Linked DNA regions of Lonchura striata. The protein of the gene in region 2 purifies or fractionates together with the protein of the main gene of each other region. This does not show direct contact. Links are inferred from orthologs where the notes say so. Each region holds a gene or a part of one and is shown on either strand. Other genes may lie near its edges.

Region 1 (5,798 bases), about 34 Mb from region 2:
GTTACCAGCTTTACAAAGACACAAAGTGAAAGCAACCCAAGAATAACATGAGCCCAGTCTTGGCACAATTAGTTCAAGAGAAATTTGGCCAGAACTTGGACTGAGGAAGAATAATGAGGTTAGGAAATAGAAAGCAGTGTTTTGCTGCTACTCCAAGAGCAGTTTCTGCTTAAGGCATTTTACAGTCAATTAACCAACCCAGTTTACTGAATACTCCACTTAGATCCCATGTTAACAGCCACTTCCAGAGCTAGTACAAAGTTTCTTAACTGCTCCTCTTAACATTTGGCTGCTGGTTCTCTCCTCCCGATGAAGAGGTAATAAGGCTTTTTGGCATTTGTAGAGATACTCAAAGATTCATAGCAGGTCACCTGGCTGCATAATCCCACTGCACACCAGGAAATGGACAGTCTGATACAGTCAAGTTTCCATTAGAGAACATCCAACTGACACTTATTACTTGTCTATAATTACACTTGTGGCTTTCAGTAGCCTCCAGCCAGGAGCACTCGAGGGAAGCGATCAATTGCAAGGCAACCAAGTGGGGTAGGATTGGCTGTACAGCACAGGGGCACCAGCAAGGTAGTAGTTGCTGAAGTTTGCATCGCTGACATAAGGTGCTGGCTGGTAATAACAGGTCACATTAGTGACATTAGGGATGACATTCTGTTCTGCCAGCACCTTGAGTGCCAGCAGAGAAATCAAATTGAGAGTCTGCCTTCGCTCGTGCCCCATGAGGCAGACGGTGCTCTCATTCACCACCCTGCGCAGAATCATGAGGTAGTCGTACTTGCTCCTCTCCTCTTTGGAGAAGTGGTTCTGCAGGTAGGTCTCCAGCTTGCGCTGCTGATCCAGGATGTCTGGGAAGTCAATGAAGAATCGGGAGCACATGTAGCGCTCCAGCGTTTTGATCTCGCGCTTATCCATGGGCCGGAAGTCTCGTACTAAGAGGTTACTGTACTTCAGCAGCCCACCACCTCTGATCTCTTCAGGATTTTTGGTAGCTATCAGCTTGTTCTGGAGGTGATCAAAAGCTGCTTCAAAGTCTCCGTACATGCTCTCCCCAATCACAGTTGGGTGGAAGTGCTCCGACATGGGGGTTTCCGAGTAGTCATAGTAAAAGAGCAGGGAGTCCAGAATGATCTGGAACGAGTCTACACTAAACTCAAATTGCCGCCGTATGCAGTCTACAAACTTAAGCTCCACATTTTTGCCATGCTTGTTGGAAAGTGATATCAAGCTCCAGCGGTCAGTCTCTGTGTACACTTTGACCAGCTTCTGGATGTAGGCTTCCTTCAGTGTTACAGAACTGATCTTCAGCTTGCTTACTCCTTCCGGCAGGAAATTCAAGAGGGAACGCAAGACCACGTCTCGAACTAACTGAAACTCTGCCTCACTTGGAAGAGAAACTTGAAAAATGAGATCCAGGTCTTTGCATCCCAGCCCATTATCCTTGACCAGGACGTGACCAGCTGCAGACCCATTCAGACGGACATCGTGGACCACAATGCCTGCTTCGCTCAGCCGGCTCCGGACCGTCTGAACAATGTCCTTCAGAGTTATCTGCAGCGTCGGGAAGTTCCCCCGCCCGTGGATGGGAACCACCTCTGTAAGAACCTCGTGCAGGCGGCTGACCTGCTCCCAGTTCAAGACACTGCAGGACATGGAGTCTGCTCTGCTACTTCCTTTGCATGCCATCTTTGGGCTTTTCTTCTCCAAAGAAACTGTATGGAGGTAGAATATAAAAAGAAAAAGACAAGTCAGAGTTTCTTTTTGTGCTTCCTAGATCTACTCCTAGGCTCTGTTTTTCTGTTCACTCGCACAGACACAAACTAGACAGAAATAACTCTATGTATTAATGACTACCAGCAATCCTTTCTTCTGAAATGAGACACAGCTTTACTATTGGTGCAGGCAAAAAAAAAAAAAATGGGTTGCCTTTGGGTTTGTTTTTTTTTTTGGTGAGGTAGAGTTAGTTCAGGAAAGTAGTTTGTGCCAAATGGAAATTACCAAAGATGACACAAACTAAGGCTAAAGTCCTCAGCAGCACCAGCAGAAGTGAGATGAGCTGCAAAGCACTTCAGAGAGTTAAGCTCTGAAGTTGTTTCATGATGCATATAAAGCTCAAACTGCTGTTTCCAACTAACACAACTGCAGAACACCCTCAGGTGTTAGTTTCAGAGCTTAGACATCCAGTCCACTGATAACTCTTAAATTATGTCAAAGATACAAGATTTCTTCCTTTACATAGAACACTTTCCTTTCTAAATGATCCAGCATCTATCACTCACAGGATAAAGGCCAAGTACAAGTTGCTCCTGCAAAAAGCTGCAGCTCTTGAACATCCTGGACAGAATTTCAGCTGCAAACTCGGGTAACAGCATTCAATAGGCACTCCAGTCTTTGAAGAAGGGTAAAGAGCTGCTTACAGAGACACTGCCTAACCAACTACCTTTCTGGAAATGTTCATACTTGTCCCAAGGTCTGCTCATTTATGAAGGGCAAACAAGCCTGTAAGATTTGCGATAAATTCAGATGAGGCATAAGAAGTTCATGTTTCTCTTTTAACATCTAGAATCTCACTAACCAGACTTGGTCACAGCCTTGTCTAAACACTTTAAGCACAAGAGAATGATCTGATTAGCTGTGACAAGATTCCTTAAGTCACTTGCCTATTGTAGCATGGAGATACTTACAGATGTTCTACAGTCATGCAACTCAAACTGGTGTTAAAACCCTTTTCTTTTTTTAAGTGTTCCAGGTTTCTGCGTAGCCAGGTGCTTCCTGACAGCTACAGACTAATTGAGGCTTCACCTTCTTCTGCCCCAAATACTCCTGAAGACTGCAGCTGCCAAGGTCAGACTAGTCAAACTTAAGAAAATTAACTCTTGCCTACCAAGAAGGAAAAACCAAGCCCTATAGTTTCCTGGCATGCAATAGCACAGTGCATGGAACATATTAAAGCAAGTTTCAAAGAACAACTATTGTCATCTCAGACATCCCCTTTTTTCAGCTTTTCATTTTTGAGCAACTCATTCGACCTGCCACCTCTTTGGATGAAGAGAGTCAAATCCCAGAGCAAGTAAACAGTGAGGTTAGAATCCCTCTAGGGAAGAAGCTTCTGTCCTCAAGCAGGAGCTGCTGCATTACAAACTGTTCTGCCATGGATCACATCAGCACCAGCAGGTATGAAACAAACCTCTGATTTGCAAGATGATTAATCTAGGACAAATCAAGTGGTTCTTTGAGCTTCATCTTTAATACTCCAACACAGCATAAACACAAACACATCAAACCTGCCAGCAGTTGCTCTCAGGCAACTGAGAGCACATTAAAGTATGTTTCCTTAGTGAACTCACTATATTTCTATTAAATCTCTCAGATCACTAAAGAACATAAGAGTCTTCCCACAACTTCTAACTGAAGCTGCAAATGCTTTCAGCTACTGCCTCTAAAACTATTCCCTCTCCTTCTTCAGATTTGTAGTCCTCTCTGCAGCCAAGAAACACACGCATCTCACCCAGTGACCAGAAAGGACCTGGACCAGCGCTTTCAACCACACCATACACACCTGGCTCTGTTTGGTGACCCTCACCTAGGAGGGTAATGCACATTGCTGCCCTTGGCGGGCAGAAGACAAAGTACTTCGTTTCCAGTTCAGTGGAGGATTTAAGTCTCAGGCTATCAACCTCCAAAACCTCCCACCCTCAAATCACTAGTGTTTGCCTACTCGGCAAGGTTTATGTTAGTGACAACAGATTCCTAGCGACTCCAGTGATTTTGGGATGCTAACAGCTCCCATGCCTCCTGCTTCACTGCCAGCCACTCCCTCCACAAGATCGGACACCTGAAGATACTCAGTCCTTAGGAAGAAAACCACTACGGAGGCAGGAAACACTAAATATCTTTAATACCGAGCATAAAGAGCATTGAATACATCACTCAAACCAGAAGCAAAAAAAGAGCGAGGACTACACACCTTCACCTTGGTCACGACGGGGTGCGTTACCCTGCAGCAGCAACTTTCTCCTATAAGACATATAATTTAACACAACACCCAAAAATTCCCCGGGCCTGTCCCGCGGAGCCCAGCGGCGCTGGGGACGGGAGCTGCGGCTCCCTCCGCCTCCAACACCCGCATCCACGACAGGAGCGCTGCCGAGCTCCTGCTCCCGGGAGAGCCCGCCCCGCAGAGGGGAGAGGAGCCCCGGCCCCGCCGCTCACCTCGGCCCCGCCGCTCGCCCCGAGCAAGCACGCCGGCCCCGCCGCTGCCCGCGACCGCCCTTTATGGCCCTGCAGGGCCGCCCCGCCCCGCCCGGCCCGGCCCGCCCGCCCCGCCCGGCCGGCGGGGGCGGCTCTGGCCGCGGTCCGGCCGCCGGCGCCGCGCCCGGGGAGCGCCGCGGCGCCCGGGCCGGGAGCGGCCGGGGGCGGCCGCCCGAGCGCTGGAGCCCCGCGAGCTCCGCGCACAGCGCCCAGCTGCCCAGCCCCACGTCAGTGCATACTTGTGTATAAAGTCTGTAGATAAATACAAACTTTTCAAAGGGCCCCTCCCTTCAGGAAGGACACTGCGGGGCTGGAGAGCCTCCAAAGAGCAACGTTGTTGGTGAAGGATCTGAGCACAAGTCCCACGATGAAAGGCTGAATGAGCTGGGGTTGTTCAGTCTGGAGAAAAGGACGGTCAGGGGAGACCTTATTGCTCTCTACAACTGCCTGAAAGGAGGATGTAGATGGGTGGTGATCAGTCCCTTCTTCCAAGCAACAGTGACAGATGACACAGTCCTAAGCTGTGGCAGGTTCAGGTTGGACATTAGGAAGAAATTTTTCACTGAAATGGAGATTAGACATTGGAATGGATTGCCCAGGGAGATGATGGAGTCACCATTTCTGGAGTTGTTTAAAGGAAGACTGGATATGAGACTCAGTTCCATTATCTAGTCAACATGGTAGTGTTTGGTCATAGGTTGGACTTGATGACTTCAGAGGCCTTTTCCAACCTAATTGGTTCTGTGAATCTGTGGGCTGACTGAAATACAACAGGGCTTTCCTGAAGGCACCTTATCCCAGACAGAAGAGCTGTTAGCAGAGATCCCAGACGTCCAACTCTGCCAAAGAGTTCTCTGTGGTGCCTAACTGGAAACAGCCAAACCAGGCACTCATCCAGAACCTGCAAGGATGGGCTCACAAGGATGTTGGAGCAGTGCTGAAACAGTGTGCTACCGGAAACTGCGGCTGATGGGCTGTGGGAGGCTCTGCGCACATAGACAAGGATGATGGAATGGCTGGACAGGAATCAATTTGGAGATGCAGTGTCATAAAAATCAGCTGGTGGTTAATAGCACAGGGTGCGAGATCATTCTGGGGGCAAAAGTTACAATTTCTGCTGAGAACATAATGTTTCATCCAATACAGGGGTATCTGCCTTTTGTTACGATAATCAGATCTCAATAGAAACGGGGCGGGGGGAATCAACACAACTTAGAACAGGCCAGAACATAATCCTAGCAGAAGTAAAAAAAGTACTTACAAAACAACGGAAAAAAAAAATCACCACTACATCTGTTATACTGTTTGGCCATACACAGTCAAGAAAGATGAATTAAAACCTGCACATATATGGAGAGGAGCTGGCCTTGAATGAGGAAATGGGAAAGCTCCTTTTTGCCTAGCAAATACAACAGACCTGCCTCGTTTCACCAAAAAAGCCAAAGCTGAACAGGAATAGGGATGGGTTAGATAATTATTTATTTTGCTCCAATATTGCCCACTGGGATAAATAACAGGAAACAAAATTACCTATT
Region 2 (7,217 bases):
AGATAACTGATGCACTGATGGAACATGACACTATCTGTAGACATTCTAGCAGAGATTGAACTAGAAATCCCACAACAATTAGACAGTAGAAGTGAAAAAAAGATACAAAGTTGCTAGAAGAAGATAAGAATTCCTGAGGTTCCAGAAGGCACTGACTAGGAACATCAATGGATGCAGACAACACTGTCTAGAAAGTAGGCCTGCATCCTCACAAAAACTGTCTTCTCTGGTATCTGTCTGTATGGGAATGAACAAGATGGCATGTTTGCCAGTTCAACCCCAAAAGGAGGACGGAGCTGGGTTACAGGATTGGCCACTCACAGTGCCATCAATAGACAATCAGAACAGCAGCACACAACACCTACCCAGCATTCAGTATTTCTAGAGACCAACACATGTACAACAGCATACACTATTGCAGAAGTGACCTGCCAGCAAGGGAGATTGTGGCATTGTCTAAAAGTATTTAGATGTTAAAGCCATCTAGGAGAAAGTACTGACAAGTATGAAAAATTGAACCTCTCATCAAGTCAGACTTTAAGAATTTTTCTCAAGTCCTAAGACAGAACACTGCAGAAACATGTTCAATTAAGCAGTTAACGCTGCAATAACAATTCTAAAGGATCTCTTTGAGATCTTCAGCCAAAATGATCATCAGAATAACACTGAGTTAGCCGATGGAGGTCCAGTTCACGTAAAATCAAATGGCCACGAGGCAAAGATAAACAATGAAAAGCATCCCAAGATCTACAGGACTCACAGCCCAAAGCAAATGAGTTACTAGTCCAAATCACAATCCAAGTTTCTGCAGCTCCATTACATCACTGCCTCTAAAAATCTAAAGCTTTTGAGTTCTAAGTTCACAAACTAGTAGAAAGTCCAACTTGAAAAAGGTAGAAATCTCATTAATGGACTGAAATCGGGTAACTAATGTTCAGAGTAATGACCTGACCCTCATGAAACTCATACACCCAGAGCTTGTCATATAGTAAAAAGCCTCAGAACAGTTCCATTTGCCCTGAGAAAAACCTGAGACACTTACCTAATTCTGTTTTAATATTATCATCTACAGTAGCCAGCCTGTGACTCTGCTCAAAGCCGATTGCTCATCCCCCTGACCAAGTGAGCTAAGCAACAGATCACTGAATCCTGGCCTTTCTGAGGACAAGAATCTCTGTCTCTCTTAACCCAGGCTTCATCTGCTAAAAATCAGTGTCCAGTATCCCTGTGGAACTCATAAAGCACATCAACCTTCTCCCCCAAAGTCACCAGAAAAATCATTCTGGTGTGGTTTGTATAAACAACTCCCAGATTCAGTATATGCTTGTCAAGATGACTTGCGTACAGAGTGAATCTAGATTAGATGTGTTTTCCAACTTGACCAGCACCCTTCTTGCTCCCTCATGCTTAGCAGAAACACTGGTTGTCAAGAACTCTATTTAATTTGCCAACATTGAGTGCTGGAGATACTCAGCTACCTCTGACTTTCACATGTGTGTACATCTTTCTCCCTACCTGACAGCTTGCTACTTCCCCATTCATCATGTGATTAAATTTCATAATTATTTGAGACCATTTCCTTAAAAAACAAAAAAGAGGCAGAAAAAAATGTAACTGATCATCCTCTTTGAATTTTAAGGACCACTGGTTTGCTGTGACTCACACTATTTCACAACACAGAAAATAAACACATCTACGGATGCAAATTCACATCAGTTAAATTTCTACACTGTATAAAGCAGAAAGTTTCCCATTGCCATAACAACAAAATAGCTTCTTAAAAGCAGAAAGCTTAGCAGGACTGGGTCCTACAGCTTCTGAGACAGAAGCTGCCAAGTACTCAACAGCAAAAAATTTAGAGATTTTAAGTCTCCTTGAAAATTCAAGGCATTTCTAATCAGGTATGTATTTGATCAAATGCAGACTGAAATTTTAAAACCAAAGAACATTTCACAGGAATTACTTCGTAATGTGAAATGTTCTAGAATAACGCTTGACATGCAAGGTGGCTAATAAAATGCCTTTGACAGGGTTAAACAAATGACTAACACATCTTGAGGTGCCATTTATAACATTTTCTCCTACCAAATACATTTTCTCTTGTTTCTACCGCTTAATTTCTTCACTTCGCACAATAAAAATCAGCTGAAAAGTTTCATTTTTGCTTTTAGTTGGTTTCACTTTCTAAGTTGCCTGGAAGCAACGAAAAGTTTCTGTTTAGGTTGGGCGATATTCAGGGAGGGGGAAATCGGGAGTAAACCTGGCTGAAAGAATAATGCCTCCGGCTAGGAGTCGGCAAGATGATGACCGTGTTTTCGCGAAGACTTTTATCTACATAGAGACGCTCAATCCCCTTAGCTGGGCGTATGAGGGAACCTTTTACGGCTTAGGCGGAGGGCAACAATAACAACAACATCAACAGCGAGAAAGGGGTGTCGAGCTCCACCACTGCCTTCTCCTCCCCGCCTGCCACAGCCGGCTCAGCTGTTCTGGTCGCGCTCCGCATCTGCTTCTTTCTCCGGCTCAACCACCGCCTCCTCCCGCGGCCGCCGCGCCGCAGCCCGGCGCTGACAGCGGGCGGATCCCGCGCCCCGGCCGGCGGAGGCACCGCCGAGCGACCGAGGGGAGCGAGACACAAAGTTTCTTTCGCGGGGCTCTGTCGGTGGCGCCGGCTCCCGGTCCTCCCCGGCGGGGAGCGCCGCTCCTCAGGCACCGGGGCAGGCACCGGGACAGGCAGCGGCGCCGCCCCCGTCCCCTCGCACCCCTCCGGCCGCCCCGCGGAGGGGAAGGCGGCCGTTCGCCATCAGCGCCTACTCACCGCCATGGCCCCGCGGCTCTCCCGGCTAACGGTCCGCGCTCCGCCGCCAGCGGGCAGCGGCGCCGAGGCGGGCAGCGCCAGGGGGAGTTCCCGATGGCGCACTCGGGCAGGGGCGGCGCTTCCCCCACCCCTTGGCCCGCCCACTCGACGTACCTGCCCTCCGGCCGCCGCCGCTCCGCCGCCTCCTCCTGCCCTCCCGGCAGCTGTCACTGCCCTCCGCTCCCGCCGCCGCCCCCGCCCCGCCGCCGCAGCGCTACCCGCCACCTCGCCCGGCGGCGCGCGGCCGCCATCTTTGGGGAGGGCTGGGGGGGCCGCGAGGGGGCAGTTAGCTCTGGCGCGCAGTGCGCCTGCGCGGAGCGCTCCCGTGCGGGAGGGCGGGGGCGTGGGCCGGAGGAGGGGCGGGGTCAATGTGTGTGGGCGTGGCTGGGCGTGGGCTGTGTGGGGGCGTGGGCCGTGTGAGGGCGTGGGCCGTGTGAGGGCGTGGGCCGTGTGAGGGCGTGGCTGTCGGGGGGCGGGAAGGGGCCGGGGAGGGCTGTGGGGGTCTGTGCGGTCTGTGGGGTTTGTGGGGTCTGTGGGCTCGGGGCTGGGCTGTACCGGGGTCTGTGGGCTCGGGGGTCCGCCGTACCGGGGCCTCGACCTTAGCCTGTACCGGCGGCTGGGGTCAGCGCTTGCTTGTGTATGCCCTGCTTAGAAATAACAAAAACGTCTCTACATTATCAGCCCTCTGTTCAGCACCAACCCAAAACCAGCCCCATATTAACTCTACCCCAGCCACACCCAGCACATATTCCACCCCTTACCATAGCATTTATACCATGGCCAGACCTCATACTATTCAATACAACCTCACTAGCCACCACCCTTCTTCCCATACTTTGATAAAATACACAGATGTTATTCCATTAGTCGATGGGCCACCATTGCAAAATGTCCATAAGATGTTATTTGAGCTCATGTAGTCCATGACTTTGGGTTCCATCAGTTATGGTAATCACTTGGAATGGCAGAACTGTTTTGTGGAAGTGTTTTGGGCACCAAAGCCGCGTCACTGCTGCACTTGCACTGCTTCTTGTGCATTGTTTTACGTGGTTTCTGCAGTAGTAATTCCTGTAATATGCAGCTCAAGCCATGGGGTTTGCCCAGGCTGAGCTCATGCTGGGTGGAGTGAAGGGTTGCCTGTTTCCTGTACAGCCATTATCACAGTGAAAGTCAAAGGGCAGAGGCTGAGGAGGGCAGGACTGTGAACACCTGAGGTGTCCCCTGCCTCCTGCCCAAGCATGTAGTGTTTGCCATCAGAGAGGAAAGGGTAAGAAATGTGCTTTTCCTGGCACTTGTGCAGGGAGGAACTATCTTCCCTCAACACCTGCAATGTTCAGCTGGTGTCCTGAATGCTAATTTGTGATTATCCTTTGCTTAATGTTTGTCCTTTCTGTCATTATGGATCAAAATTATTTTACTAGTGTTTGGCTTAATGACCTTCTGCAGCAGTGGACCAAACCAAATGAAATGTTTTATAAAGTGGTTAATTTACCTTAAAGCTCTCTGTTATTAACTTACTAAGTTCCTATTTCTCCTGCATTTCAGCAGTGTTCATATAGTTTTGATAGCTTCATGGCAGGCAGAAAGTAGCTCCTATCAAGGGATGCACCAACCAATGTCTGGTCATCACCTGGCTTCTCACTACAAGCTCCCTTTCCCAAATGCAGAATTTGAATGGTGAATAGCATACTAGACTGTGATATCGCGGATCTCAAAAACTAGAGAGACTTAGGACTGATCAATATTTGGATGAGCTACCTCGTTAGATACTGCGGAAAATGCTGCTGGTGATTCATTCAGTGGCAGTCTTCTGTCTATGAGTCAGGGCTGAACAAATGCCACTGCACAGCATTAGTGGGCCGTTCCATTCAGGGGCATAAACTGGAGATTGTTGCCAGTTACAGCTGTTGGAAGATCACTGATTTTCCTGCCTTATTCCAGTTTCAGTATGGCTTTCCAGAGCTCTCCAGCAGTTTGGCAGAACACAGCAAAGGGTTTCCACAGTGTCAGGCACCACTCACTGGTGGCAATGGGGCCAAGAACAGCAGTGGCCATGGGCACCACTGTAGGCAGCCACAGATCCTGGCTTTGTGTCAGACTGTCCAGTTTCAACTGATGATGCAGCACCAATTTTATGTGCCCCACTGCTGAGAGCCCTGTGAGGGAGCGTCCTTCATTCCTCCTTCTGGCTTCCCACCCATTAATTCCTTCATTCCTCCTCCTGGCTTCCCAGGGCTACCTCCCCTGCTCTTCCCTTGCAGATAAAATCAAGAAATATGTGCAGTGTTTTGGTTGTATGGATGCAAACCTAGAGCTGGGACAGGGGATAGATGAGAGTGTTTAAGGCTCTTCTCCCCATGTAAACTCTGGTCCTGGTGGTGTGTAAGTTTGCACTACATGGCACAGTCCTTCACTTTTTTCTTCCTTTCTAGCTCACAGGTGTATAAATAAGTGTATATGAAATTCCATTTTCTGCTGGAAACCTGGTTAAAGTTACCTAGAAATAATTCTGAATAGTACTAAAAGTGGATGGAAGGCATTGGGAACCAGCATAAAGACCTCTTTGTCTCTCTTTAGGGGCTTGTGAATAAATGGATTTTTCTAAACCTAAACTAAACTAGATTGGAATTATTTACAAACCTAAGTTGCCTACATGGTTCTCAGGTATTTCTAGATGATTGACCAAATGCTCTTGCTTTCATTCACTCCAGAACTTCCCAGGAGGACTCATTCAACACAATTTATTTCAATTCAACAGAATTTCTTTAAAGAAATGTACCAGATACACATCCAAATGATGAACATTTATGAAATTGATATTGTAGCTAAATCCAGCAGAGGAGAGGTGAGGAGAGAAATACAAAAATACAGTCTGTATCATAATGCCCTCCTTCTCTGGCTCTCACTTTTTCAGTCAAAGTTACTGTCTTCAGACAACTGAGAAGAATTGGTGTTACAATGGTCATTATTTCAGGTTTGCTTCGAGTTGTATTTATCCAGCAAAACATGTAGCAATCTGGTGCTGGGACCAGAACTGAGCAACTCATGATAGTTTTGAGACCTACATCATTTGATCCAATCCTCCTATTCTCTCCATCCTTGCAAGAAGCCTCATCCCTGGAAACATTTAAGTCTAGGTTGGAAGGAGCTCTAATAAGCCTGATCTAGTTGAAGATGTCCCTGCTTATTGCAGGGGAGTGGATTAGATCTTTAAAGATCCCTTCAAAACCAAGTTATTCTATGAAGCATTCAATATTAAATGGGGAAAATCTCCAGTTCTAAAGTTAAAATAACGTGGCTTAAGTTGGAGAGTTCAGCAACTTTCTCACACAGCATGCACCTCCATAGTGAACAACCCATTTTCACATTTAGCTGAATTTCTAATCACCTCTAGCACCTCTGCCAGGAGGGACAATGGTGACCTCTCTCCGTAGTGGCAGCTCTGCTGCTGTCACAGCTTGCTGAGCCTGTAAGAGCAGTGGTAGCCAAATGTAGATCAGCAGACCTGCAGTCAGACTCTACAGTGTCTTTACGAACAGGTTTGTCATCTAAACCTCACCTGAAGACATTAGTGGGAACATTTACCCGGGCCTCACAGGCCAGAGGAGAGCAGCTTGGATGGACTGTGGGCTATGAAAGCCGTGAGTTCGGTAGCGCCGCTGCCTTCTACCAGATAAGTAGCATCAGTGCAATATACAACAATTAAAGAAATACAGCTGGTGCTTATTTTCTAAAACAAGTAACTAATGTATGACTGTAACTCCCTGAAAGTAAACTTGCTGTATATAATAGCAAGGTGAATGAGGTTTAATTTTGGTGTGTTGGCAAAAAAAAAAAAAATGCAGAAAGTTTTATGATTACAAAATTGAGTTACTGATCCCTCGGTGTCATCGGGCATACTGTGTCTTCACCTGAGCTGCAAAGCATTCTTTTATTTGTTCAAATTACTTTCAAAGAGGCTGCCAATCAGTATAAACTATTTGCTGGTTTCTGATTTGCATGAAGGCTTTTGAACTGTAAAAAATCCAACTTTAATATCAGAATGTTTTATCAAAATAAAGGTTTGCTGACAGCAGTTTAATGCTAGGTATGATTCACCTCGATGGTAAGATATGTGTTTGTGGGAAAAGGAAATCTCAGATTTAATTGATATGATCAGCTGTGTTTTTACATAATTTGGTGAACTAGTAAAACTCAAAACACATTGAGGAGTGGCATATAATAAAATTCCATGTCAAGCAACTGGCAAAACCATGTCTATAACTGGTTTTTGACACTTGTTGTAGAGTAAGTCTTGTATGATATATTTTACCATGCTTTTCTCAAAACACTGAGGGACACAAATCCACAACTTGTGGAT

Evidence for each region.
Region 1: the proteins of FNDC3A (region 2) and TENT5C purify together in Homo sapiens (affinity purification with western blotting; 3 studies listed by BioGRID, with this or other methods). This does not show direct contact. The link is inferred for Lonchura striata from reciprocal best matches to the Homo sapiens genes FNDC3A and TENT5C.

What each region holds. Positions count from the first base shown.
Region 1 is NC_134604.1:28,335,451-28,341,248, reverse strand, and holds TENT5C (terminal nucleotidyltransferase 5C), read right to left. Parts: upstream 1,699-5,798; coding exon 523-1,698; downstream 1-522. UniProt on the Homo sapiens protein: Catalyzes the transfer of one adenosine molecule from an ATP to an mRNA poly(A) tail bearing a 3'-OH terminal group and enhances mRNA stability and gene expression.
Region 2 is NC_134604.1:62,224,498-62,231,714, reverse strand, and holds the start of FNDC3A (fibronectin type-III domain-containing protein 3A), read right to left. Parts: upstream 3,081-7,217; 5' UTR 2,972-3,080; intron 2,928-2,971; exon of another isoform or gene 2,819-2,927; intron 1-2,818. UniProt on the Homo sapiens protein: Mediates spermatid-Sertoli adhesion during spermatogenesis.